Arabidopsis thaliana: one gene and its partners. The protein of the gene in region 3 interacts with the protein of the main gene of each other region in a pairwise test. Each region holds a gene or a part of one and is shown on either strand. Other genes may lie near its edges. The genes, in order: AT3G49160, NAC095, AT2G36930 and ERF14.

The links.
Region 1: the proteins of AT2G36930 (region 3) and AT3G49160 interact in a two-hybrid assay, tested with the Arabidopsis thaliana proteins (one large-scale study listed by BioGRID).
Region 2: the proteins of AT2G36930 (region 3) and NAC095 interact in a two-hybrid assay, tested with the Arabidopsis thaliana proteins (one large-scale study listed by BioGRID).
Region 4: the proteins of AT2G36930 (region 3) and ERF14 interact in a two-hybrid assay, tested with the Arabidopsis thaliana proteins (one large-scale study listed by BioGRID).

What each region holds. Positions count from the first base shown.
Region 1 is NC_003074.8:18,219,875-18,229,386, forward strand, and holds AT3G49160 (pyruvate kinase family protein), read right to left. Parts: upstream 5,032-9,512; 5' UTR 4,856-5,031; intron 4,560-4,855; 5' UTR 4,542-4,559; coding exon 4,132-4,541; intron 4,060-4,131; coding exon 2,455-4,059; intron 2,376-2,454; coding exon 2,258-2,375; 3' UTR 2,004-2,257; downstream 1-2,003. Other genes in the region: AT3G49150 (F-box/FBD/LRR protein), read left to right, coding at 1-10, 90-151, 242-556; AT3G49155 (F-box/LRR protein), read left to right, coding at 1,460-1,731, 1,880-2,003; EMB2261 (Tetratricopeptide repeat (TPR)-like superfamily protein), read right to left, coding at 7,080-7,561, 7,656-9,512.
Region 2 is NC_003076.8:16,442,057-16,449,444, reverse strand, and holds NAC095 (NAC domain containing protein 95), read right to left. Parts: upstream 3,791-7,388; 5' UTR 3,682-3,790; coding exon 3,513-3,681; intron 3,378-3,512; coding exon 2,908-3,377; 3' UTR 2,772-2,907; downstream 1-2,771. Other genes in the region: AT5G41100 (hydroxyproline-rich glycoprotein family protein), read right to left, coding at 1-171, 262-472, 559-587, 741-809, 911-972, 1,049-1,120, 1,470-1,542, 1,900-2,016; GDPD2 (PLC-like phosphodiesterases superfamily protein), read right to left, coding at 5,610-5,844, 5,964-6,160, 6,269-6,364, 6,597-6,878, 6,968-7,027, 7,250-7,388.
Region 3 is NC_003071.7:15,507,554-15,515,815, forward strand, and holds AT2G36930 (zinc finger (C2H2 type) family protein), read right to left. Parts: upstream 4,055-8,262; 5' UTR 3,892-4,054; intron 3,811-3,891; 5' UTR 3,795-3,810; coding exon 3,604-3,794; intron 3,477-3,603; coding exon 3,414-3,476; intron 3,167-3,413; coding exon 2,990-3,166; intron 2,878-2,989; coding exon 2,815-2,877; intron 2,552-2,814; coding exon 2,449-2,551; 3' UTR 2,345-2,448; downstream 1-2,344. Other genes in the region: AT2G36920 (B3 domain protein), read left to right, coding at 1,285-1,935; AT2G36950 (Heavy metal transport/detoxification superfamily protein), read left to right, coding at 7,663-8,121.
Region 4 is NC_003070.9:1,169,668-1,177,034, reverse strand, and holds ERF14 (Ethylene-responsive element binding factor 14), read right to left. Parts: upstream 2,003-7,367; 5' UTR 1,859-2,002; coding exon 1,457-1,858; 3' UTR 1,267-1,456; downstream 1-1,266.

The DNA of each region.
Region 1 (9,512 bases), on a different chromosome or scaffold from region 3:
TGCCTTGCAGGTACTTACTTTCTGTTGTGAACAAATACCGGTATTCAAAAACCTGGTTTGTTTAATTATTAAGACTGACCAAAAAGCAGGATGGGAGTCATTGCCGGTTCTACTCAAAAACTGTCCAGATCTAGAAAGCCTTATCTTCGATGTACTAACTCATAACCTTTCATATATTGCATTTGCTTACACAAATTTGTAAACAAAAATTGAGTTTGAAGTTGGTTACTCTACGATTCAGGGGCTCCATCACAACGATACAATTAAATGTGAGGATGTTGACGGGTGTCTATGCAAATCTTCACGTGGCATTCCTAGTTGCCTATCATCAAGTCCGGTGCAGTTTCTAACGATATGGAAATTTGGTGAAATTTGTGATGACTATGATGACATGGAGAAGCAGATAGAGCTCGTCATGTATTTCCTGGAGACAATGCCGAATCTTGAAGAAATGAAATTGTTCTACGATACACAAATTTATGAAGATGTGATAAGCAAACTTCAGATGTTAGTAACCTCGTCGAAATGCACAGTCTATATAATCCCCGAGGTCTAACTTCTACGTGTCTACGAATCATCTATTCGGTATCTACTAAACGGGGTTTGTTCTGTAATATGTGTATTACTCTTTCGCCTTCTCAATACGCATTTTCACTTTTGTGTTGAATATTATATACTTTATGTTTTCTCAAAACTTCAAAATTTAAGCTTATGTCAAACCAATTGTTCTGATATTGCAAAACAACCCCAAATCGTTACATTTAAATTTATCTTTGGTCCTCTCGCAATTTTGTCGTCTTCTTAAGTGCGAGCGAAATCGTTTCTGCATTTTGTAGGAGGAGTCATGAAATTGTACATTTTGTCTTACCCACCGAGAAAGCATGAGCACGAATCGAGGCTTAGCGATTTCGTTTGCTCACTAAAAACCCTAACTTTCACTTTTTCCCACTCTGCTCTCTGTTCTTCCGTCGCCGTGTAGAAATTTCGATCAGGTTCGTCTCTTTGTTTCATTCTACAGCTTGTTTGATCATGATGATGATACTTTGAGATTCTATGTGTGCCCATTGGCTCTAAAGTTCTCGTTTTTTAGTCTCTCCTCTTTGTGCTCTGCGTTTTTGTGCTCACTGGCTCTAAAGTTCTCATTTTTAAGTCTCTGCTTTTTGTGTTCTGCGTTTTGCAATGTGGAGAAGAAGAAGTGTTGCTTTATTATAGCGTTTTCTTTTCTCTAAGCTTTTAAGATACTAAATATGAGATTTTTTATTTTTTTGGCTTGTTCTAATACCAATCTCACTAATCTTTTACTGTTTACAGGGACTTGAGACGCACTTTGTCTCTCAGATCCTTATTCAATGCTCGCTGCTACCAACCATCTTGTAGCGGTATCATTCAACGTGATGATGTCCATGAAGAGAAGCCACATTACGGCTCTTTTCTTCATCAGAGATCCTTCAGCAGTTCGATGATTCTCTCTCAGCAGCATATGATGAGAAGCCCTTCACATTTCCCACTATGCTCTCCTTTTGGTGTCTCTACCTATCGGCCTATGTCGACTTCACATATTTCAGGCTCAGATGAGAGTGGCGATGTGAATCATGTTGCTGAAACTCTTACTGATTTAGTGCAGCAAGATACAGTCATCGAAGTTGCCGATGCTGCTATCGATTCCTCCATCCAATTAGATTTTGTTCAGCAGATAGTTCATAATGTGCATTCACTCACAGGCTTAAACTGGTAAGAAATCTTCTTCTTTTTTTTGTGTTGGTCAACTTTTAAATCATGTCATCCTTGGAGTTATTGTTGGATCACTTTTTTGTGTTTTTTTACACCCAAAAATGACCATGTCTTATATCAATCATCTCTGTATGTTCTGTGATTGCAGGTGGGCTTCCATTGTTTTTACCACCTTTCTAATTCGAGGAGTGACAATCCCTCTCATGATTGAATGCGAAAGATGGTTTTCAAAGAGGATGGTAATAAAACAATGTTCTTTCGTAAACACATGAGTTTTGTGTCTCAACCAACCAAAACACCGTTCTTGTTTGTGATTGGCATTACTTTCTATTTATACTGTTCACTGTTTGAAACACCATCATCAATCGGAATCATAATGGGAGAACTAGAATCAACAAGCTTAATCCTTCCATGTTATGATCTCTATTCATTCATCATATCCTAAATACATTGTACATTTCCCCTAAAATCTCTTTCTTATAAAACAACAATACGAATATAAATGGCCAAGCAAACTACAAGCAGATCAATGGAGATTTTCAGAGTCCGATTTCTTGTAGATAAGCTTGGTATGAAGAATAGTATCCAACATTGAAACAGCTTCAACGATATTCTTGCCTTTGTTTAACATCACACAGCTCGCCCTGCATATTTTCAAAATGCAAAATTAGACAAAGAAACTGCAAATCTTACAAAGATCATGTCTAATGCAAAATATTTTACCTTTTTGCATTTGCAGCATCAGTAATCTCAGCTCTAGTTGGAACTCCGGATTTCACAAGTGATTCAAGAACCTGAGTTGCCATAATCACCGGTACACGAGCAGCTTTACAAATAGCTATAATCTCCTCCTGCATATTAGCCAATCTCTCCCATCCACATTCCACTGCAAGATCACCTCTAGCTATCATAATTCCTAAAGGATTCGAACACTTCATTGCTTCTAAAAGAATCAAAGACAAATTCTTGAATCCACTTTTCGTTTCAATCTTTAAAACAATACCAAGATCATCTAGTTTTCTTTTCTTCAACTCTTGTCGAAGAACGGTTATATCATGGACATCACGTATGAAAGAAATACCAACCATATCAGCATGTGAAGCTACATAATCAAGATCTTTAATATCTTTTGATGTTAAGCCTTTGAAATGGATATCGCTCTGCGGTATGTTAATGGACTTCTCTGATCCTAGTTTTGTACCTTTTGGACGTGCATGAGTTATGGAGACAATTACCTCTGAAGGACTTGTTCCTTTTATGACTCCCCATATTTTTCCATCATCAAAACCAATGGTTTCACCAGGCTTGACTGAATCAAACAAATAACCGGAAGGACAAGTTAACCTATGAGCTCCTGGAACAGTTACAGATGGTTCATCGAGCGATCCTTCTCGGGTTATGACTAGTAAATCTCCAACTTTTAGCCTTACAAAAGATTCTTTGGGAGGAACATCTACTACTCGTCCAACTAAACGTCTCCCTTTCTTTCCCTTAACACTTAACTCAGTTCCACTTTCTATGTAAGCAGTGTCGAAACATTCAGCCACAAACCCGGTACTGTTGAAAACATGAAACTCTTTTGAGATTTTAAGTCTCCTCTTTCTCCCTCTAGCGTCACATAGTCTTATAGAATCACCAATTTGGAGACCAGCAAGAAAATCTTGGCCTTGGACCGATATAGTAGCATCAGGGGAAACATGAGCAGGAGGTTCTGTTCCTGTGAGGCAGAGCCATACCAAAGCAGGAGAAACAACATTTCCATAAGCATCTTTCTTTGGTGAAATTTTCATCACACACGGACCAGGTTTTAAGGTACCAGTTCTGAGTTTTGGTCCTGCTAAATCCATATGAACGCGACATGGCATCTCTAACATCTGAGAAGTTCTTCTTACTCTTTTGATGATCTCACCCCAAATACTTGGATCTCCATGTGCACAGTTTATACGGATAACAGATGTTCCAGCTTTAAGAATATCAGTTATAAATGTTTCACTCAAAGTTGCTTCTTCACCAATAGTTACCATGATATGAGTACTTCTTCCCTCACGAAGTTTACCAAGTAATGACTCTTTGTATGATAATACCCTCCCTTTATCATTCTTCTTAGTACTTTTTCCCTTGGGATATACATTAGTCCAAGACTCCGTCACAGCGTTTTGATCGTTCATCAAAAGATTAATAGAGGCGTTAAGGTGGGCGAGAACATCCAGATTGTTGTTGTCTAAACTTGACAGACCAAGAGAAGCTAGATGACTGTTGAGCTGCTCAATGTCCAGAGATCTCAAAGCCATATAATGAACTAAGTTTGTTGCACATTCCAGATACTTACTGCAACAGACGGTACTAGGAAATTAGGCGAAAAATAAGTAATGCAAACTATATATAAAATGGTTAACAAACCTGTCACATAAGTGTAGTTGAGAAGCATTCCATTTCTCTGCTGCTAAGAGATGTGACCGAAGAGCATTCAGTTTTTCGATAACACTAGCCACATTATTGGCCCCATTGCTTCCAGAGAGGTCTGCTTCTGACTTGAGATGAGACATAGCATCTTTAGAATCTGGAAAGTCAAAACTCCAGGTACATTCTGTGGAGGTATTATCACCAAAGGTGGCTTCCAATCTGCTGAAACTTTCAGCTTCGCCTTTCCCGCGAGCTAAGGCAAAAGCTAAGGTTCTCTGAATAGGAAGTTTCATGTGATTAAGTGATAATGCATAACTTGTCTTCTTATGTTGGTTGTTTATGTGAGACCTGCTGGAGAAGCAAAGGATCTTGTCTCTCAACAAGTGGCTTGAATCAAGTCCTACCATATCGACTAATTGAATCACCTGAGAATCAAAACGAAAAAGGAGAAACTGTTATAGATTGACACAGAGGTTAAAACCTAGGCATAACCACAAAGACAAGAAACGAAACATGTATAACGCAAAGAAAGAAAACAAAAAAACAAACAAATTCCAAGTTCGTGAAAAGGACAAAAACAAGCCTACCACAAATCAAAATCCAGGAAACAAATCATATCTAAGCAAATAAGTTTTCTAGGCTACTGGAATTGAGAAAATATCTGGAAGGAATCAAAATCAACCGAAACTCATTCCCTAGAGGACAAGAACATGAGAAATACCTTTGTTATGGAGAAGCGCTTTGTTCAGATAATGTCTTCGCTCTCGTCTTGAGGAGAAGAAGAAGAAGAAGAAGAAGAAGAAGAAGAGAAGACAGATTTTTCAACGAAGAAGAAGAAGAAGAAGCAGAAGAAAGAATGATGAAGAATTTTCTTAATGAAATAAAAAAAGTTGTGGTTAAGGATAAAAAGGGAGTGTGGCGAGCGCGTGTCAGATTCATCTTCTCGGGGAATCTAGTAACACGGACGGATGAGGCTGAAAGGTCCCCATTATAAAACGACGTCGCTTTGTTTTTCTAAACCTATTCAGACAAGAGACCCAAAGATAGAAAAAAAAAGACCGGTCCATGCGGTTTAACCAAACCAATTCCGTGAAAACTGATTAATTTGGTTTATCTATTCCAACAATGGAAATTGTTTGGTAAATTTTAAAAGAGTTTGGGAAAGTAGCTCCTATTGTAAAAGAGTTTTATAATTAGACAAAGTCGTTTATGAATATATGAAACACTTAACTGACTATTTCAAATTTCAAATATATGTATAACTTTTAACCATGTAAGAACAAAAAAATAAGAATGGCTAAGTTTGCTTAATTAGATTTTGTAAAATTTGACACATTATTTCTAAATTACATTTTATTGAAACTATGATTCATTTATTGGATGTTTTTTAGAAAGTTTGTGAAAATTATTAGCGGATTTGTAAACTGAAGAATGAACATAAACCATTCAATCTTTTAGTTACGGGAATAATGAAACCTATAAATCGGTACAAAGTTACAAACACATTTCTAAGCATAACATTTGTTCAACACAACACTCTCAATAGGAATCTTATCCGTGGGAAAATCACAGTCTGAGTCCATTGTAGTTCTCTTATCCGGTAACAAACTGCACGGCTCCGGTGTAACCCTACTAGTAACTCCGGAGACATCCGTGCAGTTCCACTGCAGCTTCTTCGGGTCCGGCGACAAAGCTATAGTCACACTCGACATGCATAAACCCGTAAATGGACCATTCTTGATCCTTTCTAGCTTTGCCGAAATTGTAACGTTTTCTGCGGTCATGTCACGGTAATGGATATTGCTAATCTCCGGCAACGCCTTGGGATCAAACCCGCCTACGGGATGCAGCTTATACGAACCGGTCATCCAGAAAACGTATTTCATCGTCTTCATCGTAAATCTCCTAGCGAAAATGTCTTTGATGTAACCGCCACGTCCTATAGCGGTTTTGATTCGGATAGCGGATTGTGTGTTGATTAGTGTCACCTCTTCAGTTTTCGGAGAAGATGATTTCGATCAACAAAGGTCTTGATATCGACTTGAAACCGCCACTTCGATACTTCAACCACCATGACTTCCCTTGTCCATTAGTCGTTCTTTTGTTACCTAACAACAAATTTGATCTTATAAACTAAATATATAATTTTGATTCAATCTCATATATATATATCCATCAAACCATTTTAATGATTTAAGTTTTGTTGTGCTTACCGGTGATAACAACATCGGTTAGGTTACTTCCGTATACTAAACCAGTAAACCTTGCATCTCCGTATGACGGCAAAGGTGGAATCATAGGATATTCAGACTCATCCTGTTTGTTACAAACGAAATAAAACCAAATGTGATTATTTATCTCAAATAGAATGGTTGATATTTTTTAGTGCATTCATAAATAGGTGTACGATACTAGCTAAAATTTTGAGCTTAGATATATTTATTACCTGAGAAGCAAGAATAGTTGCACCTTGCTGGATAAACAAAGTAAAATGGCTTGTGAGGTTGAAACTTCCGGTGAGCCAACTCCCCGGCGGTACAATGAGTTGGACTCCACCGTCAGCCGCCAACGGAGTAAGCTTACTTATTGCTTCTCGAAACGCTTTGGTGTTTGAGGGTTTTCCATCTCCAATAGCTCCAAAATTCGTCAAAACCGCACTGTGTTTCCGGCAATTCAAAGCCAAATATTCAATACTCTTATTGCTTGTTGATCCCAAATTGCTTTGGATACGGGATTCCATCATCGGAAAACCGGATATTGCTAATACCACTAGTATCTTAAAACTTGTCTGAATCATCTTCAACTGTAATAACTTAAATAAATTAGAATGCTTCTCTTTATTTATTTTTAAAAAGAACGATCACATTGAACCCAAAATCCTCAAGATTTAAAATAACATTGAATAGAAAAGCCTCATTTGTGTATCTAAATCTCAAAGTCACCATTCACCAATAATCATTACAAGAACATTTCCCATCTTTAAAATGATGAAAACGATTCAAATCCCTCAACACAATCTCTCTACCAGAGACTGTCGATATATATTTCATCGCGTTATGGCAATCTCCGCAGACCCGTAAGTTCTTGAACACCCTAACCGGTCTAGATTTCGACGTGCTTATAAGCCCAAACGCAACCGCAATTTTCTCGCTGTGCTGATATAGTAACCTCTCCTTCTCCGCCTCATCATTCTCCTCCTCTAGCTTGTGAAGAACAAGATCCGTATCAGGAACATATCCGCAGCGTTTTATTTCTGTAATTAACCGATCCAATTCATCATATATTTGGTGAGCATTCGGGTGAGCTGTATCACCTACGTAGAACTTATGAATTTTATCTCCCACTTCTATCCAACTGCAACCTCCTTCTTTAACCAAGTTTCTCTCTTTCATCTTCCTCCTCATCTCCGTAGATTCTTCCCATTTCCCTACATAGAAATATTCAACAAAGTGTCACTTTCACACAAGGTAGATCAGTAGAAGAAAGAGTTTTATCTGATTGTGTTTGAATTATATAGATACCTGCACAAGCGTATATGTTTGAGAGCTGTATATAAGCTGCAGGCTCATTCGGATCAAGTTCTAAGATCTTCCTCGCAGCCAACTTTCCGAGTTCTGTGTTACTGTGAACTCTGCAAGCTCCAAGAAACGTACGCCATACTAAAACATCGGCTTGGAAGGGCATTGTGTTAATGAACTCAAATGCGTCTGTGAGAAGCCCGGCTCGACATAGAAGATCAACCATACAAGCATAGTGTTCCATCTTAGGTTTGATCTTGTGGTCTTCATACATTGAATTGAAATGTCTCCATCCTTCGGAGACCAAACCAACATGGCTGCATGCCGATAAGATTGCAACATAAGTGACCTCATTTGGCTTCACCCCTTCTTCTATCATTTGGTTGAATGTTTCGAGTACCCTTATAGCGAATCCGTGTTTAGCGAAACCTGTGATCATTGAAGTCCACGAGATGACATTACGATTTTCCATAAAATTGAAGACTCGGGAAGCTGTGTCAATGCTTCCACATTTGGAATACATAGAGATCAAAGCATTGCAGACGGGTTGATTGCACGAGAGCCCGAGTTTAACCACCTGAGAATGGATTTGCTCGCCTTTTCTTATTGAACCAACATTTGCAACTCCACTCAACAAGCTAGCAAATGTGAAAGCGCTAACACCTAATTCTCTCTCAGTGATCTCACTTAAAAGCTTAAATGCTTGCTCAAAATTCAAGTTCCTGCATGTTCCGTCAAGAAATGTATTATACGAAACCAAGTTCTTCTCAGAAAGTGACTCAAAAGCTCTCTGAGCATCTTCCATCCTGTCAGATTTAACAAACATGCTGATAACCGAGTTTGCAACACTGCTATTCGAAGCAAGCCCTCTTTTGAAAGCTTGACCAAGAACCTGTTTACCTACCCGTGGATCCGAAAGATTTCCACACGCCTTGAATGCACTCGAGAAAGTGAAATGATTTGGCTCAACATGACCTTGCGTTATCATTTCACTAAAGAGATTAATAGCCTCTGTAGCGAGATTACAGTTTTTCATATAACCAGTGATCAATGCCGTCCACGACATAACACTATGATCCTCCATTCTATCAAACACCTTCCTGCAATCATCTACCGAACCATCCGCAGAACATTTCGCATACATATCAACTAAACTACATTCAACATCATCCACAAGCCCTGATCTAATAGCCCAAGAATGCAACTGCTTTCCCAAAGACAAGTTCTCCAACTCAGCACAAGCCGAAAACACAGAGCTTAGTGTGAACTTATCTGATTCAAATCCACTTAAAACCATATCCAAGAAAAACCTAATCGCTTCCCTAGGAAACCCCATCTGCATACACCGAGTAATCATCAAAGTCCAAGTAACAACATTTAGTTCAGACATTTTATCAAACACCTTATACGCATTCTCAAAGCTATTCTCTCCTTTCACAAACATGTCAATCAAAGAACAACCCACACACACATCAGATTCAAAATGCCCAGTCTTCATCAAAAACCCTAAAGTCACTCTCCCAACTCCAACAAAATCCGAATTCGAACAAGCTCGTATCACCGCCGTGTAACAATAATCATTAGGCACCAAACCTAACTCCAGAAACTCAACAAAAACCTTAATTGCATCTAATTCTCTTCCGTTGTTACCGTAACAAGCCATCATCGCACTCCACGAAACAACATCTCGCTTACCAAATCTTCTCATAGTCTCAAACACATCTTCAGCTTTCGCCGAATCTCCAGATTTCGAATACAAGCTAATCAACGAATTGTAGAGAACCGAATCAGGCTCGATATCAAACTCGATTAATCGAGCGTGTACGAGTTTCCCGAGACGAAAATCGCGTGCTCGGATAC
Region 2 (7,388 bases), on a different chromosome or scaffold from region 3:
GAGTTCTCCATCTCTATTAACAAGTCGGTCATCATCATCATTATCCTCACTACAATCCATTTCGTTCCCGGGATCAGAGAGCACACAGTCGATGTGTTGTCTATCTGCAGCAATTCTGACGTGTTGCTCTACTGCCTCAAGCGATTTCAGACCAGCAAAGAACATATGCATCTATGCAAAAATAAGAAAGTATAAGCGACATTGATTGAGAAATTGCAGGAAGGTTTCTTACATAGAATAGTAATTTTATTCAGAAGGTACCTGAGCAGTGTGGTGGCGGGCTGCTTGTGTGAGGAGACTTCGAGCTTGCCCTTCCTTGAGAGATTTCAATCGGAAAATGCACAGAGTCGCCTCATCTTGTAGCTCATCGCGAGCAGTCTCTAGCTGACGGCGAATAAGTCTCTCCCCTTTAGTGCCTTTAACTTGTACCTTGTCTTTCACATGCTCCATTAGCATGTGCTTAACAACGTCTCTGTAAGTAAGAGTCAGAGGTTAAGGCAAGATTTTATCAAATCAAAACCGAGAGAATAAAAAACTACATTGCAGAAAGTCACTGACCTCTTTTCTTCACATTGTTGCTTCATATCCTGAGAGGAAAAGAAAAGGAAATACGACAAAATCAGCGGTCTTTATTAAGGTTGTGCTTTTTTGTTCACTTTAGCTTTAAATCTTGCTCAAACCGTGAACTTTTCCGGCTTTTAAATAATCTCTGACTGTAAAAGACCAAAGCTAGGGCATACCTCAACAGTTCTAAGGTCACTGAGAAGTGACTCTGAAGGTCGTGTAATGGTCTTGAATATTTGAGAACGCTGAAGGAGAAAAAAAAGAATGAAACAAGAACTACCTCAGTTTTGTTCATAATTATACATATTGCTTCATGAAAAGTACAAAGTTGCAACATACAACTTACATAAGTGTCGACGAGTTTCTTAAGCTCAAACTGAACTTTACCTAACATTAGAAGAATTCCACCTGCAGAAGAAACAATGTTACAGCATGGAAACAGGACAAACAAACGTCCATGATAGCTAAATACCCAAAATCTTACCACTTTCTTGATCATTATGAGGCGCGATTTGCTCCAAGCATGAGCCCATTTCCCCCAATGATTCAGAGAACTCTGATTATACCGAACAAAAGAAAAAAAAAAAATGATGAGGTCTGACAATATACTGATGTTCTTATATGAATCAACAAAGGTTTCTCACAAGGTTAAGAAAGTACTTAATGGGAAATTCTAGAGACACTAAAAATGAAGATTTCGCAAAATGATAATATTATCGAAGACCTCCGCTAGAAACAATATGAATGAAAGCTAATTCAATCCAATAAAGCTCGGGTATAGCAAGCCCCATCTTATATGAAGCAACCGTACACTTTACAGTCACAATGTTTGACAACATCAACCTTCCAAATTCATACATGAAGCTATAGAAGTGGAGATTCATAAAGGTTGAATGCTTATTTACCATATGCGCTATTAGCCATAGCAGCAGCTACTTCGAGTAATCTATCATAACCCTCTCTCATATCTTGCATATCCTGAAAACAATTGAGTAATAAGCTTAGGTCATAAAATGTATCTTCCAGTTCTAGTTCAACCAATCAACAACTAGCATCAGTTACAATATCAATTTCTTACCATAACTGATATAAATACCAATTCCAAATTTCTCCATAAGATAAGTCTATAAAAGTAGAAATTAATGAACAAACTTCTATAACTGTAAAAGTCCTGAAATTTCCAATTAGGGTGTGATTTTTGATCGGAAATTTTTATCCACAAAAACTCATCCAAGTTACAATCTTGTGATCAATAACTCACGATTTTGAAAAGAAAAAAAAAACTAAATCTCAGAGAATCATGAGAGAAGATCAGTGAAAAGAGGGAAAATTTACCTTGGCGGCTCGAGCAAGACCTTCAATTTGTGCAGTGGGAAAAAGCTCTCCTATATCAATCGCATCGGCTTTGGGTAATGCGAATCTTCTTAACCTTCCAAACGAAGCTTTCATCATATCTCCAGATAGAACTAAACAAAACCCTAATCACGAAGAAATTCCTCTAAGATTAATCGGCGCTTCGATGGTTTGCGAGTCGAAAACAGAGAGACGAAAGAGTGAGATATTTTGTCAAGTATCGTGGGATGTGTTCAACGACATTGAAGGAAGAAGAAGAAGCTAAAAAGTTTGAAGCTTTTGTTTTTCTGGTCAAAGAAACAGATCGAAGAAACAGCAGAAAGACGGAGGAGGAGAAAATGAGATAATCTCACGCGTGTAAGATGAACGGTTCAGATGAGAGGTTTGACACGTGGTGAAATCTCGAAAAGAGATGTTGAGAGGGAAAAAGTCAAAAAGTCAAAGATTTATGACAAAGGCGGAAAAAAGGTTTTTAGGTGTTTGACCGGAAGTTTTTAAGCTGGTCAAACATCTCTTTCTCTTTTTCATTAAGGCTTTTGAACAATTTGATTTTTGGACATATCAATATATCATATTATATAACATATATCATCTATCTTCTTCTATATATTATGACCCTCCTAACAATTATTGGAATAGAGAGATCGATTGATTATTACTACGACTCATATCAATAGTTTTCTTTAGGTGTAGGAGCGCAATTTAGCAAGGTAGGCGGACAATTGCTAACATGAGCCATTAGATGAGGGATGATCTCTTTGTTCTGGAACTTTTGTATCAGCGAGCAAGTGAGTCTCTCGAGCCACATAACCTAATCGATATATTGTGGAAAGAAAAAGAAAAAAAACCTAACCGATATATTGAAGTGAAATAAGCATCTTTAAAACAATAGGTATGCAACTAGAGGTAATAAAGATTTGGACGTTGACAGGTTTTGAGAGAATCTACAATCCACCAACACTAACAGTAAAACACTATATCATGAAGAAGCTAAGGTGTAGCAGGAGGTGGAGGAAGAACAGTTCCATCTTTCTCTTTAACACTATCCAAACTCTCTGCAGGCTTATCAACACTTTCATCTTCTTCTTCTTCTTCGGATTCGGATTCAGATTCGACTATATGCAAATTACCAAATTCAGGTTTAACCTTCTCGTAAAAGATATGACACAGAGTCCAATCAGTATCCACAACTGTCAATGGGAGGCTGATTTCATCCAAGAACCAATTGCATTGTGGAGGTTCTTCTTCATCGCCGTTCTTGTTATCAGATTCTTCTTCTTCTTCGTTCTCAATGAAAGTAAACGAATGCTTGATACCGACTAATTCGCCGCCATTCTTCTTTGGATCTAACACATCAGTTTTTTCTCCCGTTGGTATCCAGAGGTTATAAGATTTCGTTCTAGTAACTTGATTCTTGGGTTTCTTGCAGTAGAAGTACCAATGCTCTTCGCTTCCATAGCCTGAAAGAACAGAGCAAAAACAAGTTCACAAAATAAAGCTTGTCACGCAAGAAAGAAGTAGCCAAAGTTAAATCAAGAAACTCAAAAACTCTATCAAATCTGTTTTGTCAAAAGGATCGGAGAAAGTATTCTCACCAGGCAAGTCGCGAGGATGTGTTGAGAAGATATCATTACATTCGTCGGGCACAGTAAGAGCTTTCATGGGAAGTCCTAAAGCTTTCTTGATCAAAAAGTAAACAGCCAACTCCAAATCTGAAGGACGAAACCTCATACCTACTGGCAAAGCTCTGTATGTTGGGCCCATTATTCTCAGAACAAAAGAAGAGAAAAAGAAAACAGAAAGAGATGAAGAAAAAGAGTTCGTCGTCCAATGAATAAGCTCCAAGCTGCCTATATATTAGTAAGTTGTTACGAAGAAGTAGGGATTTTGTGACTGAGATAAACGCGAGCGAATCAAGTATTTATATAGCAACCTCTGTTTCCTAATCCTAATAGGACTAGGAAAACCTTTTTAGAAAAGGAATTGAATAGATAATATCACGCCACGCATGCATGAGCTTTAGTTAGTAAATAAGGGGAAAGTTACATTTTAATGTTATGATATTTGACTTTTTTTTTTACATCAATTAATGGAATATTTTTTTTCATATCGTGATTTTGTTATAATTATCATTGATTACAATGATACTGAAAAAAATGGAAGATAACATCTCGAAAATAAGTAATTAAACATATTTGGCAAAAACGAAAAGTACTTTTGATATTTAGGGTTTATCAAAAAAAAAAAAGTACTTCCTTTGATATATAATAGAAACTTATAGACCGAAATCCATATTTTTTTCAGTTGTCCTAAATTATTTCTAATTATTTTTTATAATTATATTTACATTATTTTGCTCAAAGCTTCCATATTATAAATAAACTGAACTTTGTGATTAGATAATTTTGAATTTCTATTCAAAGTAATATCAGAATTATAGTGAGCAAATTAAAATTTGAGTGTACTATAGCTATATCAATTAATACTTGGTTTTTGTTTTGGACAAAAACAATCAATACTTGATATAAACCGTATAAAGAAAATTGGATTCCAGTGTTGAGAGGTAGATATAATTGTAGTAGAAAACGTTTAAATCAAAGCATGTATGGAAACAAAACTCATATAAGAACAGTTACTTGAATAGATCAGAAATTTTAATTTAGAGACGTGAATCAGTTTCTAATTTTAGATTATTATATCAAAGAGAATTTATGTTGTGGCTATTGGAATTGGATTCTTGAATTTGATACTGAAGAGAAAAATAAAAACGAATGTCTTTTGTTTTCTTCATAGTTAAGGCAGAAGAGGGAGAGAGCATGAGTTGTAGTTTGATTGGAACTTCAAGCATCCTTTTAAAGGTTGGAACAAAGACAAATACTTCAAAATTCTATTGGGAATTAAGAATAATCTTGACTCAAAATATATTTCAACAAAACATATGTTAAGGCTAATTCTTTAGTCGCTAATCAATCCGCGACACGTAAATAGTGAATAATATCGACAAAACACCGTCTTCGAACTATCAATATGCAGCGGACTTTAGCACTCGTGCGGTCGTGCCTACAGACTCGTTTGTTTTGTGGTTTTTACTTGCAAACTTTCAAAAATTGAAATATGTGAAACTAATATCTTATGTCCATACTTAAGACTTCTGAAAATACATATCTCACTCCATTATAAAGCTTGACCTCTCACAAGAGATAAGCTGTATGTTTGAAGTCAATCTTCTTGCGGATAAGAAAAGCTTTACTAAGAAAAACACCTTCTCGCTTACAAACTACGTATCCCGTCATATCACTCTGACTCTATACCGAAAGCACATTACAATTGGTCACCTAGTGATATAACTAAGCTTATATAAAAGATAATCCATAACACAACCTTAAAACCATTTTTTTGCCCTAAAATGAGAGTTTCAAAGTCTAGATCCATCTTGGGCTTAGCTTGTTTTGGGTGACATATCTTAAAAGCTTATATAAAAGATAATCACGTATATATTTTCTAAATTTTTCGATTAATTAAAAAATAGCTGATTTTCTTTTGAGAAAGTTAATCCTTGTAAAAAGAAATAAATTTATAATTATTTACAATTCCAACTATTGGGTAATACACCCAGAATAATAATTAAATCAATAAGAAAATCAAACCCTAAAAAGAAACTTGGGATAAAAGAAAACGAAAAAACAGAGATATCAATGTTGTATCAACTGAGAGAGAAGCTTGAGAAGAAAAGAAATCTCCTTCTGTGAAAACTCAGGTCTTGTAATGGCAACATCATCATCCTTGGAAGGTGATGGTAATGGTGATGATGATGGTGGTGGTCTTATCATCATGCGTGTCGTGGACTCTATAATCTCCTCAACAAAATCTACAATCACTCCATCGATCCCCATCACATATTGCATGTACACTGCCTCTCCGACATTGCTGCAACACAATATTTGAAATAAGATTAAAATCTGATTAATCAGTGATCGGATCCAACAGCAATAAGGAAACAAACTTAAGGTCTTTAGACTTTATTAAGAAAAGTGAAGAAGGTTTACTTGAGTTTGCCGTATGTGAGGAGAGAGAGGTTAGATTCTTTGATCTTGCTAATGGCTGCTGGGTTCCTGAACACTCCTTTTACCTCTGAAACAATACCTTGAAGACCTCCTTCCAAGCAAACTTGAATGGCTTCTTCGAGCGAGTTTCTTCTCTCGTCATTGTGAATCTCGTTTCCCGCATCAGTCAGAAAGAAAACCTGGGTTCAGTTCATATGACATTGTTAAATCTTAAGTGATTTCTCCATGAAGAAGTCAAGAAGTTTTTTTTGGTATTTATCAAAGAAAAGAGCGAGAATGGAACATACAGGGTAAGTGCTCTGCAGTTCCCTAACAAGCTTAGCTGCATCTGGTTGGAAACTTGAGAAGATTACTGGTCTGTCTTTAGCATAATTAGAGACCACCTGTAGTTTTGTCACAGAATGGAAAAAACAGAAAATAATAAGTTAACAAGTCTCAATCAATCTAGATCCAACTTGGACCAGCAGTTTTAGGTCAACAGCATTGATACAAAAAGGTCTCAAGAGATCAAATTAATTGTGAGCACTTTTAACAAATGGTTCTATTGGACCCTAATAAATATTCATACTCCAACAAGAAAAAGAAGGAAGAATACGGAACTAGTATTGAGCATACCTGTAGTACTGATCTCAGGATATGGACAAGAAACTCTCGTTCATAGACGGTCTGATCATCAAATTTCAACTCGATATTGAACCCAAGAGTTTGTTCAACTTGTTCAAAAGCTTCTTGCAACGTACAAAGAGAATCATCCAAATCAACGTCCCATTTCAAAACCTTCCCTTCTTTAGATTTCCTCATCAGTGTCTTCCCTATTTTCTCAGTTTCCTTCTGAGGTCCATAAAGGAGAAACTCAGACAGACTCAGATCCGTCACTCTACTCTCATTAACAATACCCTGAACCATAACACACAAACACCAGATCCATGAAGACAAGATCCAGAAATATAAAACCAAGATCTATGAAGAAAGCAATGTAGACTTACATTTTCTTCAGAGTAGATGAAATCATCATGGAAAATGACAGGGCAATCATCTTTTGTCACCTACAAAAGAAAAACCACACAAAGCTTGGAATGCTTCTCTATGTGCCATCTCTCTCTCTTTCTTCAAATCTTCATGTTCTTATTTTTCATTTCAATTTCTAAGAATCTATAAATAGATATCTAAATCAGAATCTTCTTCCACACACAAAAACATAAACATAAAACCCCAATCCTCTGTCTCATTCAAATCCTAAAGTTGATTACATAGATCGGAGTACCAACCTGAACATCGAACTCAATGAAATCAATCGGATACTTAGCGGCGGAATTGAATGAAAGAATCGAGTTTTCTTTAACACCTCTCGCTCTCCGATCAGACGATTGCAACACATTCATACCGATTCCTCTATGTCCAATCACC
Region 3 (8,262 bases):
CTATTGTGTGTACATCATGCTTTTATACTAGATCATGATTAGTAATGTAAGCATATAAATAATTAACTATGACAATATTGTCAAAAAGAATGCTTTAGATGTATAGACACACGAACATACGTGGGGAACAAAATTATGAAGATGAGAAAACAGAAGATGAGAAAAAGAAGATGGGTCCAAAAAGGACATTGAATGAGATGATGAGACCCAAAGCTAAAACAATAATGAAAAAAAGAAAGAAAAGACAACATTTCTTTTGTGTTTATATAACTTTTTATGAACAAAACAATTCTTGACTTCGTTTCTTTGTGCAACACACGCGTGCGACCACACACACATATATGCATATGGGACACACACCATGATGATGATGACTACTTTGTTTTAGCTGTTGAATGCAAATAAATTTGTGTTTAATTATGAACAAACTTGGAAATTATAGTGGTGGAGAAGAAGAAGCACTAGCTCCTCTCGGCACATGTCGTTCACTAATTGAGAAATTCATAGAAGGCCAATAATTTAAGCTACAGTACTGGAATTCCCCACTTTCTATTAATAAAAGTTTAACAATGTCACCAAGGTTTTTTTACTCTTATTTTTTTTTTATGTAAAGTAGCATGGATACTGGAACTTGAACTACATTTATAACTTTTACAAATCAACGCAAGATTTTTTTTGTAAGATTAGATTATATTTTTGTGAACACCGTGAAAATGCAAATTAAAAATAATGAAAAGATATGCAACAGATGGATACTGGGAGTGGGACATAAGAAAAGCTCTGAAGATAAAACATGCGCAAGCAGAGAAATGGTATAGATCAAGATGAGATTTGCACCTCGATCCGTTTGATATTCAAGTCTATTACGCCTATTCCTAATCCAAAGAGGAACAGCGTTAGAAGAGTCATTTATCAAGGTGTTGCGGATGATGAATTTAGGCTCCGTTATGGGCTTGGAAACAAAACACTAGAGGGCCTGCATACTTTTCCCGATCACTTTGAGTGTCTCTTGTCTGTGTAACACTTAATTTAGAATTTCTTGGTGGATGCCTTAGCGGCGGGGTTTTCTCAAAATGTTATCACTCTTTTATTTGAATCCTTGCCAACATTTTGGATTAGCCTTTGCGAATAATATATATATATATATATATATATATATATATATATATATATATATATATATATATATCATCACTTGCGGTCTCATTAGTCCCTCATACAGTATCTCTGTGAAATCGTTATAACGATAACTCTCTTAGACGAAGAAGAAATCGCGAAACGAGAATGTCATTCTCAGACGATTGTACATCTCCATCGGAAAAGAATCGAGCTCGTACGAGTCAAGAACCACGAGAGCGCCCTCAAGATTTGTCTTTCTTGTCATCCAAGGTAACAGAGAAGCAAATTATGAGCCAAGAACCGTTTGAAACGTCTTGCTCCTCTGTTTCTCCGATGAACAGAGACAAAGAAGCCTTTAACAGTCGACATGGTCCATTCTCGAAAAACCAAAACTACTTCGAAAGTAATGACATCACCATGAACACTGAAAACCTGCTAAATCCTTTCCATTTCGGAGGAGGTTCTTGTGGTTGTGCCTTTTTATCAACAGAGTCGATGTTATGTTCTTTTACCGTTTCAGGTGAAGAACATGGCACAAACAATTCTGACACTTTGGGAGACCCAAGTAACATTTCTCTTCGTTGTTTTGGGAGCATTGAATCCATATTGAAGGTAGCAAGAGATGGAATAGAGATTACGATGATGCCTATCCCTAGACTTGTCAACAACGCACCTCAATGGACCATCAAGAAGAGACTGACCGAGCATAATGTTAACCCTACTTATGGCCAACTTCGTCTGCCCAGAAGCTTCTTCGAACAGCAGATTCGAGGACATCTGCCTGAAGCTGATTTGCAAAAGCGGACTCATTGTTAAGGTATAGGACAACGACACGAGCACAATGCATGAGCTGCGTCTGGCAGTACAATATACCTATGTTCTAACGGGTGACTGGCTGGAAGATTTTATCCAAAAGGAGAAGTTTGAAAGAAAGAGACGATATAGGACTCTTATGGGATTCTTCTGCTTCTAGGCTTCACTTTGGCGTGATTGCTCGTGGAAAGGCAATAGTTCCCCGGAAGAGAACAAGGTCTGCATAATGTGATCTCAATTACAAACGCATATCAGCAGCTGAGAGAGCTAGTGTTTTGTTCTTTCTATTTTGTCAAAACAACGATTGGTATGGCTTATATGGTTAAGTTTTTTATGCAACCAACACAAACAATATATGATTTATCAGATTTAAACTTCTAAGTGAAGCTAAACCAGTAACTGCATGATAGATACTTGGCAACAGACAAAAAACCTGTATCATTAATTTAGGAGATTATAGTTTTACAACAAAATTTCGGGTTCCATTAACTAAATAAGGAAAATAACTGTAAAAACTCAGGCAGACATCAGCTTTGGACCATTGTCTGGCATTCCCATTCCACCAGCTAAATCTGCATCGAGTTGCGAGTGTGGCGCTGGTCGCTCTATCTTCTTCACACTGCAATCACACAAAAATCCAAATGGACAATAGAAAGATATTAAGTCTGAGTACAGAGCAACAGACATGCATAGATCAATAATATAATCATACAGAGGTAATCAAGTTACAAGTGCTAAAACATTTTTAGCTACGCCAGTGACGAGAAATAGCTTTAACATTGCCAGCAAGATGAATTCAAAGTAGACGAGCACAAGAACCAAACACAGTTCCAAGATCAAAACAAGATAGAAACCAAGACCAAGGAAGAAGAATCCACATACCGCTTTTTGTGTTTCTTAGTCTTGAAATGATAATCCATCACTGATGCATTGGAGAAGTTCCGACTGAAAAATATCAAGGTAGAGAGACAAGGTCAATCAAATACAAACAAATGTTCACACAAACATGGAAATCTAGAGTAATTCAAAGATTGTCTTTTTGCACATATAATCTTACTGGCAGAGTAAGCAGTTGAATTGACCCATTCCAGGTAAATCCTCCGTCTCTGGTTTACGCAACTCTGTGAATACCAAATTAGACATCAGCTTTGGGCCATTGTCCGGCATCCCCATTCCCCCGGCTAAATCTGCATCGAGTTGCGAGTGTGGCGCTTGTCCCATCATCATATTCACACTGCAATCCAAGTGGACAAAACACATATAATAAGTCTTGAGTACAGAGCAACACTGCAACAGACATGTATAATCATACAAAGGTAATCAAATTACAAATGCTAAAACATCTTTAGGTACACAGAAGTGAAGAGAAATAGCTTTAACATTGCAAGCAAGAAAGTAAACGAGCACAAGAACCAAACACAGTTCCAAGAACACAAAACAAAATAGAAACCAAGGCCAAGGAAGGAGAAGAATCCACATACCGCTTCTTGTGTTTCTTAGTCTTGAAATGATCATCCCTCACTGATACGTTGGAGAAGTATCGACTAAAACATATCAAGGTAAAACAAACAAATGGGTCATATAGAGTAATTCAAAGATAATGTATTTGCTAAAAAAAAGTTTCATAAACCAAAAGAATCGTCAATAGAGTAATCATAGAATCTCTCTTACTCGCAGTGTAAGCAGTAGAATTGACCCATTCCAGGCAAATCCTCGTCAAGCTGTAACGGCTTAATCTCCGTCTCCGGTTTACGCAACTCTGTGTAAACCAAGTCATCGCCTTTGACTTCGAATTTGTCACGGCGAGCTGTTTTGTGAGATAATCTCCTCTTCTTCACTTTTCTAGTCGGACATCTACCCATTTTAGCTTCCTAAGTACTGAGATCGAATCATCAATTGAAAAATTAGTGACTAATTGATAAGAATCTAAACGAATTTGCAGATTAATTCAAAACTTACGATTCAGAGAAGAAACTGTGTAGGAGGAGCTGAAGACGACGAATGCGGAAGAGGAAACCCTAGAAAAAATATCAGTTTCGGTTATAAAGTATTGATTAACCTAAAAAGGGCGGTTTCAGTGATGGAGACTTTGACGCAAGGCCCATTTATTAAACAGGCTTAGATAGGCCCATTAATAATTAATGATTTGGAAATCAGTAATACATACGGAACCAATTAAGATCTAGTCTGAAATTATTCTGAAATAGCATTGTAAGATAAGTCACAGAGTTCTAGCAATGTACTTGGACCGAATTAGTGACAGAAGCGTAGGTTTACTGATAAATCTCATAACCTTGTTTTTAGGGTTCCATTAATTTATTAGTATAACAAGAAACCAATAAATTCTTAGAAGTGGAGAGAGCAAGGGAATGAAAGGCCTCTTTGCGTTGCATACTCTTAATGCTCCCCACAATGATGGTTTTGTTGTCTTGGGGAGGGTTTGAAGCTTGTTTCTTCTCTCTATAATTTTTTTTGTCACCAATACGTCATGTCTCCACCACACTTACTATCCCGAGTTTGAAATGCTTTCCAATTAATGTTTTAATAGAACCGATCCTACTTATGTTATGTGGATTTACATCTAGAGCAAGGACAATGTGTCATTCTCATTCCTCCAGCTAGATAATACGTGGTTAGCAAGATTTGTTTGAAATGTGGGACGTTCCTTTTTTCTTTCCAGATACTTCTACACCATATTGGTTCGTCAATGGGGTCTAATTGTTCTAATAAACTAAGGTGCTCCTGCCGAGGAATACAATAATTGTAACAATGATAGTGAAACAGACCGGTACCAAATCCAAACTTTTCATATTATTTATTAGTGTAATAATGTTGCATGGAGATCCATTTAGATGTTTAAAATTGAGTTCTTGATGAGTTGGTTCTACTTTGTCTCTGCCCCCACTAAACTTGATTTCAAAACGTTTCTATAGCCCATCTTTTTCATGTTGTCTTAATTATCAGATAGATTTTACTCTTTAGACTCCTAAGACCAAGTTACTGTATATCATTTTGATTATCTTATTTTCTTTCACTTTCTAACTGTAGTTTACTTTTAGGTTCCATTCCGTAAACATTGCTATCGTTTTGTGATGAACACAAATTTCTTTTAATTTGTTCTTTCCTCATTATTTCCTAGCAAAATGAATGGAAATTATATTTCATAAAATGAATCTTTAATAGTTTAATCCATGTTACAGCCATTTTCACCTTTACATGAGAGACAAATATGTACGGCGAACTTTCTAGCAACAAAAAACTGACATGCATGAAGATGGTTTTTTTTTTTTTTTTTTTTTGCCAGTCGCATGAAGATGGTTTATAACCATATTGAATGGTCATTTTTGTAAGCTACAACGAGAGGCGAGCAATGAGACTTGCCAAAAAAATATGAGGAAAAATGGTGACTTGCATGTGTACTTAAAATGGCACCATATGGATGGATGAAACTACTTAAAGGGTTGAAACGAGACGATTTTCTGTTGCCATATTTTTCTTGATTTTGTGTGGCTGTGTATACCATAATCTCTAATTGCAACCTGAAATTAAAATGGTCTATTTATGTTGCAATTAGTGATTATGTTTTATATTAACCTTGGTAAAGTTAGTTAAAATTATCCAAGTCAGCCTGACGTGTTACACTGTGGAACACGAAAACAAATCTTTGTAGTTTGTATGTGTTGAAATCGTATTTAGCTACATATAATAAGTGACCATTTCTACCCTAAACTTCCAAATTACTGAACAAAACGTTTCAAAAGATCCAAACATCGATTTTCAAAATACAAACACAAACTTACGTACGTTGAAGTTTGTGGTCATTGTGATCGTTAACTTTACGAAAGATTTTAGATAATAGACAAGAAAGTTCTCAATCAAACTCTATATTTCATGTGTATATAATAATATGTGTCCACCTCATGTATTACGTCACTCATAGGACCATATGACCAAAAAAAATCAACAAAACACAATGAAACATGATGTTGACAAAATGGACCGGTGAAAGGAGGAACGAAACGCAATTACGCAACCCTTGGGACATTTTTTTTTTTTAACTTTTCTTATCCTTTTACTGTTTATGCAGTTGAAAGATTTTCAGATAAAATTCAATTTTCACACAGCGAACCCAATATGTTAGCATTCAAAGAAAAGTAAAAACTCAGTGAGTTAATATTGCAATTCCTCTTGTCTCTATCTCTATACCGCAGCCCATGTTTTTTGTAGATAGGCGGTTCTTGGCTGTTTCCATGAAGCTGAAACTAACAAAACCAAAGTAATCATTTAATTAAAATCACTAATTGTGCTCTTTAGGAGAGCAAAATTCTTTTGATTTATGCAAGAATTTAAAAAATAATTATATAAGCTATTGGTGCTGAACGAATTATGTAAAGTAGTGTATGCCAGTAGGTGATAGTGATACGAATAGTGTATTACAACGAAACGTGAAATTACATTCTTGATACTCGAAAACATATACAATTTTTTAAAAAATTGTTCAGATATATGATACACATTTTTGTTGATGTTAATTTAGTAATATATGTACATTACACACACATGTCTCGAATTCTTCTATGTACTAGTATCAAATATATTAATCGGTCAAACTACTTGACAGATTAAAACCATGTGCGACTTCTCGTATAGCTTGTATTTTAAAGTTTTGATCTGATCTTAATATGCGTTTATTGGATCATATAATATAACATGTGGTATTTTAATATCATAAATTTTGGTTTCTTTTCCTAAAAATACAACAAAATATCTAAAACTTTTTGGGAAATCTGTTAGAAGATTTTTTTTTGAATCAATTGTAGTAAATCACTTCTTAAAATGAATTTTTTAAATAATATAAAACATAAAAGAGAAGAGAAGAGGAGGTTCCATCAACTTCACTTACAATGAGAAAAGACTATGCAATTTGCACAATCATGACTTTAACCAATACACATTTATCAGAAGAAAAAGAATCTATCTTTATCTTTAATCTCTTTACAAATTCTTTTTTATTGATAAAATTTCAAAAATGATGTGATTCAAAAATACAAAAATGATTTGATTAAAACATCACTTTTCTTCCTATATGAACTTGTAATAATAAACGAATTACCGGACTTCATAAAATGATTTGATTTCGTATTTAAGGCCATGAAATCTTCTAACTAAAGTTTGTTTCTGATAAGGTATAGGATGTATATTCTTTGAATTGTGACAATTGGTCGAATGTATTTTTACCTTAAACTGATATAAGATTCTGCTAATCTAGACTCAAGTCATCAAGTAGTCAAAGCTGAGAAATGATGCTCTTTTTGTTTTCAAAAGCAATGTTACCTTTAAGAAATCATTAAACTTGATCAACTATTTGCGTCACAAACAATTTTTGTTTTTAATATTATCCACGGATGATTAAAGTAATGTTGTTCAGAAACTTGGTGCCTTCGTGTCTCGTACCATCACTTGTGTCAAACCGGCGTCAAACGCCCACTCTCGCTGACCTCAGCCCCCAACAAATACACACATACGGAAATGAACATGTAATATCAAACCATATAATATTCAGTAAAAAATCAGTATCGATAATATAGTAAAATAATAACCTTCACGCATTCCTTCTTCTTCTATAAATACACACATTTGCCTCCACTTACTCTCGTTCAAACAATTCTTCGTCCTATTAAATACAAAAAATAAAAATCCTTAAAAATATATCCTTATCTTCAACCAAGAATGGGAGAGGTCCAAGAAGGTCCCAAAGTTGAACAAGAGAAGAAGCCGGCTGCCACCGTAGTCCCAGTTGAGACTACTGACGGCAAGCCAAAGAGCGGCGGAGGAGATTCCGCGGCAGCAGCAGCACCACCGGTCGCCGCGGTTGTCTCTGCCTTTGTTTACAAAGTGGATATGCACTGTGAAGGCTGCGCTAAGAAGATAAAGCGAATGGTTAAGCACTTTGATGGAGTGAAAGATGTGACGGCAGATACTGGTGGAAATAAGCTTTTGGTGGTCGGAAAGATTGATCCAGTGAAACTCCAGGAGAAGTTGGAGGAGAAAACCAAGAGAAAGGTGGTTCTCGCGAATCCACCGCCAAAGGTAGAGGGACCTGTTGCTGCCGCCGTTGGAGAGAAGAAAGCCGATGGTGGAGATAAGGAGGCGGCTCCTCCTGCTCCTGCTCCGGCAGCTCCAAAAGAGGTATAGATCTAATTGAATAATAACAAGAGACAACTATACTTTTGCTACTGTACGCCAAGTTCTTGACGGTTTACGTTAGCAACTTAAAAAGAATAATAGTAGTGTGGATCACACTAGTTAATTAGGCAGATAAGCTAAAGT
Region 4 (7,367 bases), on a different chromosome or scaffold from region 3:
TGCAACTGCAATAACAAAAGCATTGTACCAAAGATAAGAAACAAATGGTGTGTGTGTGTGTATTTGTTGAAACATGTGTGGTTTATATTGGATCTTTAGATTCAAACTTTGTTTACTTACTCTTCTCGAGGCTCCGTGGATTCAACAATCTTTATCAAGAAATTTGATCGAATTGTAACTAGTCAGAGCATCAGATTAGTACCTGTCTAAGGCTTTAATATATTCCCCTAGGGTTTCGTAATGATTCAAGAACAAGCAAAAACGCACTCGTCGAAACAATTACATACCTCGACGAGACTCAGGGTCAACACGGTTCTCCGATTTGACCTATGACCTATCGGCGGCGGCGAGAAGGGGTTTCAGGTGATTAGACTAGAAGGTTTGACTGACGGTGGCTAACCGCCGGTGGGCCCAGAAGCTACGACACCATTGAAGCAATCAAAGAAAAGATTGGTGGGGACGAAAAGGGTTTCTGTGTTATAAGCCGAGCCCGCATTATTTTAAGTTAAAAGTTAGTGCAACTGAACCAAATTTATTTATTCATGTTTGTATGTAAACTATGTTTTTTTTTACTATATTTTTATTAAATTGTATTTTATCATTTTAATTTTAATTAAAAACTTCTATATAATTTTCCAACTAAAATGTTTTTTTTTGTTATATTAATATTTTTATCTTGGGACGGAAAACAAAAATTAATGCCTTTAAAGTATATGGTTCTAGCTTCTATGGTGATCCTGATTCCTGATAGAAGCATGGAATTAACGCCGAAGTCTCTCATCTCATCTTCATGGCCGTGTGGTGTGGGTGATTTTCTTTCTCCACGTATTTATATTTTGTCTTTAAAAACTCATCTATCAACTCAATGAATTATTGTCCCCACAAGTTACTAAACTCATCAGTTGCTTATAAAAACTATTTTCAAAATGTACATGTATATATGCGTCTACATATGCCTTTCCAGTATAATTCATGAATGGAAGAGCAATAACAAGCAATGGTAAGATGAATTCCATATTTCAAACGTATAACACAATGTACTTGTACATGCTGGTAGTTATATTAATTAGAGCGATGTAATAGGTTATATTGATATCTTATAAATTTACTTTGATTTATTTTAAAACGTTTAAGCTCGTTTAGATGAATCACAAGAAGGTAACAAATATATCAAATCATAATTACACGTCACAAAACATAAAAGAATATGTTTCACATAATCATTATTTTCATTAATATTTTCTCAAAACTAATTGCACAAGGAACCGTTTGAACTTTGAAGTTCAAGAAACTAAGATGACCCGCTTAAAGAATCTTATTCGTTACAGAAATCGATTGACAATTACACTTCATGCCAATAATTGAAACAGCTTTGTACGCTTGGGATTTTATTTTATTTGTTATAACTGAAAATGGTCTTTCACATAACTTTCAGTTAATACCGATTGTATTCCCTTTATTGCCTCTTGCCCATGTTGATATTATGAGTCTTGTTATAGTTCTCTCCATATTCAAGAAGTTCATCCAAAACGCTATCGTCCAAGTACTCAAACTCAAAAACTTGCTGCGACGAGGAAGAAGAATTAGCCGCAGTGGATGAGGATCCGGTTCCCATGTTATACTCGTGAGGGAAGTTGAGAATGGCAGCTTTGCCTCTCATTGAATAGGCGGCTCGGTCATAGGCTCGAGCCGCGTCTTCCGCAGTGTCGAATGTCCCTAGCCACACACGCTCTCCGTGCTTCCTCGAATCTCTTATTTCCGCGGCGTATTTACCCCAAGGTCGTCTCCTTACTCCACGGTACTTCCCTTGCTCGGCTCCTCCTCCTCCACTACCACTGCTACGACCTCCTTGATCCATATATCTGTGTATGTGTATATACTGTTGTGCGTCAGAAGAGAGACCAAGTGACAAAGAATAATAAGAAGAATTGGATGTTCTAAGAGTTGGAAACGGACACAAGATGTAGCGTCTGTTTTTTTTTTTTTGTCTTTGTGTGTGTTTTAATTTTGCATGGATTAAATGAGATTTGATTTGTGGAATTTATAGGCAAGGAAACAAGTGGGTCCATCAACCTAATATTCGAAGTTCGAAAAACTCCACTTATGAAAATTATGTAGATGTTCTTTAGACCTTTTTTCTCCTTCAACATAGATGTTTCTCATAAAATAAATTTTCTTTTTCTTTTTCTTTTTTCATTTTTTTATAATAGATTTTATTTTGAGAATTTTGTATTTTACATATATGTACAATTTTTTATGGCTATAATAATATACATGTATGGGGTTTCGGAAATGTACAACATTAATAATATGGTAAGAATCATGTGCAACAAAAATATAAAACAATTTTTTGTTATATCCTTGAAATTATTATATTTTGCGTTTATATTTTACATTATATCTAAATTATTAAATATTTATATCTAAATAGAGCTTATAAGGTTTAACTCAAGTTGAACTTTTGCAAAAAGTAGGAAATTTATGATAAAATTAGACAGTCTCTTGAACTAATTATTATAGAAAACTATATTTGTATGGTATTTTTTGGCAACAGCAATGGAATTTTATGTTACCAAAAATATGATGTGTACTGAATAAAAGAGTTGATTGGAGGACCCATAGGAATATGTTTGACTTGGGACTTCGTTAGTGCCCACGTGGGTTGACTCTCAAAACCGACTCAGAAGCTTTCGTTGGACCATAATAAATTTTTTGTTTAATACAGAATCTACGTGTGGGGGTCTAAGTTCTTGACATGACTTTACATTTTGGAGAATTTTTTCCTTCTAGATATATTTTCACATCAATTAATTTTTATTGAATAATTTGCAGTAGATTAGATCAATTAACTTTTCTTAACATCAAGTTTACGAACATACCACTAACGAAGAAGAACAAAAACGTTTACTAAGTACATTGAATCGGCCTTGAATTGTTTTCAAATTATGCATATATTCTACATAAAGCTGGAAATTCATTACTTATTCTACCTTAAAAGAAAATATAAGATTTTGTTTTTCAAAATGTCGTATAAAAAATTGAGCTAAATATTAATCGCTAAAATTTTTTATGACATTTGAACTACTTTCTCCATCTTTGCCAACGTACGGTACCTGAAATCTCTAGAAATTTGATCGAATCAAATGTTGGTTGCGTTTGTAACTTTGTATATGCATTGAACAAATAAAAGTTTTTATATTAGTAAGAAATGTTTGTAAGTTGTGAACGCAAATACAAAAGGTATTCGCAATTTGATTTTATGCTTTGGAAATCACGCTTCCCATGTACGATAATCTACATTTTTGTTTGTATTTAAAAGCATTAATAAGATATCATATTTTCATTAAATATAATCACACCATTTAGTCCTCTAAAATATACAAAACCAAAAAAAGTAGTCAGCTTAGAATCAAGTAATTTGTAATTGCCTTATACACACTACAGTATATAGTTGTTAACTGAAAAACAAGAATCAACAGCCTATAATACCTTACATACTCTAGAATCTGAATCTTTTAACTTAAATATACGACTTCGTTGAGCCAACAAATATAACTTTCTTTAGTTAGCTAGGTCCACAAAATTAATCGCTAAAGTTCCATAAATATAACAATAGATGTCACAGTCAATAAGAAACTTATACGGAAGGACTTCGTATAAGTGAACATTCCATAAATAGTATCTTTCACCCGTAAATCTCAGATATTTTACTGACACTATACTCTGTCGAAATTGACTTTTATAAACCTATTAGCCTAATCGTCACGTGGGCTTTTCTAATAAGTCATTAACGTTAAGTCAGTTGAAATAAGGATAACGACATGTCCAATGTACCTAGTTGATCATAAATTCATCATCATGGTCACAATGTACCTACTTCTTCAAGTTTTCTTTTTGTTACCTTTTTAAAAATATATATTTTAAAATACACTAATTGGCCCTTTTTGGCTGCTCCTAATATTGGATTCGATCTTATAGGTGTCCGTACATATTCGAAGTCTTTTTTTTTAGACTAGAAAACAAAGTTTTGGAGTTCCCTTTCCTTCTTTGTTCTTCTATCATATCTGAGTTCCTTTCCCTTTCAATCACATTAAAATAATGATTACGATTTTATTATGTCGTTTAAATCTGACTTGCCTTTGACTTTGAATCGGTCCACGACAAATATTTTTTTGGTAAGTTATGACAATTGTTGTAGTGCCTGTATATTTTTTTTAAAAATGCTTAAACTGTCGCATAAATGCGACCAAAAAATAAAATACTGTCGCATTAATGTTTTATTTTGGATAAACCGAGTCTATGAACAAACAAACCAAAACAACCGAAAACTGGGCGACAAAAAAACAACAACTGAAAACTGATTTTGTTGAAAATTCTCGGTAGACGGTAACAAATATCATCGAAAACCTACTGTACTTCAAAACTTCCTTGTTCCAAAAAACAAAAAACAAATCTAAGGATTCTTTTATATTTGAAAAAGAAATTTAAAATAGAGCCTGATTGAAAATAATTATTATTATTCAATTGTTCATTTTTTTTCTTATCTTCAATATACATTTCCGACGTCTTTCTTGAATTGAAAGGAGAGATGAATCTACGTTTATTCAACAATAAAAAGAATTAAATTTAAGAAGATTGGAATTAACGTCTATTCTATTGTAAATTAATAATCTCTGGGAAAAAGAAGATTGTGTGGTTTCGATTGATATAGAATCAGAATCTATATTGTTGTCGCCATTACGACTAGTGTAAGTAAGGGCTCTCGAGGTTGGGGACAACATATAGCTAGAACTAAAGTCTTTTTATGTCTTCGTGCATGAACCTACCAATTGAATAACATAGAATCTATAGTAAAAGGTTTATTTCAGAACAAGAACCCTAACATATAGATGAAGCTTTTAACTAAAGGTTATAGAATATCAAGGATTTATGGGTTAATCTATTTCTTTTACCAAAATCGATAATACGTTGACCAATTTTTTGGATAATCTTCGATCAATTACAGCGGAGTTCCAATGGAACAGAATTTATTAACTATATTTTTATAATTAGCACTATAAATAAGAAATTTATAGTTTAAGTACCTTTTAACTTTCATTCTTTTAATTTGAGAACAAAAATAACTTTAATGAACTCAAAGATATTCATACAATATTATGTATGGTTAATATTAATGCTACACATTATTATTTTCAAGATGACATACACTAGTTTCATTTTAAATATATTTTAAAATTGACACAGTTTATTTTCATTTTAATAGATTGACATAATCTTTGCACACTGAATATATGATGGCCCAGCCCAAGTTCACTCGTGACCCACATATGGTCCACGCAGCTGCCCAAAATGGGTCTAGAAAAACTAATGGAAGAATGGCGAAACATAATTGTTTTTTTTCCTGTCAACGAATGGAGAAAGAGAAAGTGAAACAAGTGAAAGCATTTTTTTTTACAGTTCTCTTTTCTGGTAAAGCATTTTTTTATCTTTTTTTTTTGTTGTCATCAGCATTTATTTATGGTTGTTCAAAAAAAATAAAAAAAATTATGGAAACAGAACAGACGATAGAACAAATTACATCACATTATTCAATTTTACACTAAAGAAATTAATTTTATTTTTGTAACATCTTGCTTTATTTTATTAAAATGAAAACAGAGATTACATAGTTATTTCTTAGACATACACATAAAACCAAAAATTGATTAAAATTTAAGAAATTAATTAACTAGATAATTTAAGTTAAAAAAATTGTTTTTTGTAAATTGTGTCTCATTAAATTATAGGATGTTTTGACTCGCACACATATCAATGGTTCAAAACGTTGACCCCAGATTGGTTTCTTTAAATGGTAAAGTAAAAGTCAACCTTTAGTTTGAGATAATAAAATTTAAAAGCCAATTAATTTTCTTTTGAAATTTATTTACAATTTCTTGTTATGAGATCTACATTATTATATACAGTAACACTCAGTTAGATATTAATCTCTTGTATTTAGCCAAACCAAAAACCATCGGATCAATGCATAAGTTTTGGAATTTCTAGTAATTTATTTCCAGTTAAGTATGTTTTTATAGTGTAGCGTAGGGCTAGAAGACGATCCTGATCAATGCAACTAATAGAATCTCGAACATCAAAACAAAACAAAGAAAATTATAGAGATCGAGTTCATATCTCGGAGCGACGTGTATCGATGATGGTCTGACGCACACACGTGACCGACCAAGCATCACGTGCTGCTGAATGCTGATCCATCTCACCGTTGCTGTGTTGACCTGAGTCGTCGACGTGGCGCATGATGATGATCCTCAGGACCTCATTCTTAAAAGAGTAGTCTATAGTCAAAGTCAATTGTTAATGCGGAAACAAAATTCTACTATATTAATGAGATGCCTAGATTTCTTTTTTCATATTAGTTTTGAATTGTACAAATAATTGGATTCTAGTAAAATCCTCCCAAAATTGAACCAAAAGCTTTCACAGCTGTTGTCAGTCCATGTGAAAACTACTGATGAGTTGTTTTTCACAAGTTTCATGAATCAACTGTTTTTAATGGTGATTTAAGAAAGTTTAAATTTAAGTAATACAATGTCACTAAGTTCTATATGAAATATTCTTCTGCTGCTCTGCCCTGGTTGTAGTATTTGTTTATTTGTAATTACTGCCGAAGCATCAATTGTGATTTTGTCGATTTTTAGGTTTAACTGATGCAACACTTCAACAAAAAAAAAAATTAAAAAAATTTGTAAACATGGATCTGAATCTAATTTTGTCGATTTGTGATTTCTCCCACTATATTTTTTTTTTCTTTTGACAATCGTGATTACGGATTTTCATCGGGAGCCACTTATGAATATTAGTTGTTTGGATAAAAATAAAAATAATGCAAAAACAACAAATTACTTTCCACTAAGGGTTGTCTCCGTCGTGGGCACGTTTTCGTTTTTATTATGTTAGGACAAAACTAAGAACGCCATAAGTCGATGTGTATTTATATATCTTTTTGTGTTAAAGATGTGTATTTATACATCCTCTAACGTATTATAGAACATAAGTCCATCTAAAATTCGATTATATACACTTTGATGATAAATAATACACAAATACGTACACCCAAAATTACTCAAACAACTAACAAAAATAGTCACAATTGTTTTGCTAAAGACAATACATTATTGATAAGAGAAAAAGGTTCAAATATAAAACGAAACTATACTTCTCACCGGACCTATTATTATGTTCTATTCTGTCGTGAGCCAAACTCGTCAAACATAAATACACGATAGAGACTAGTGAGTATGGAAACATTGTCCTTCTTTATCATTTTTTATTTCTGTTTACCAGTTGTTGTTTTGTTTTTTGTTTTT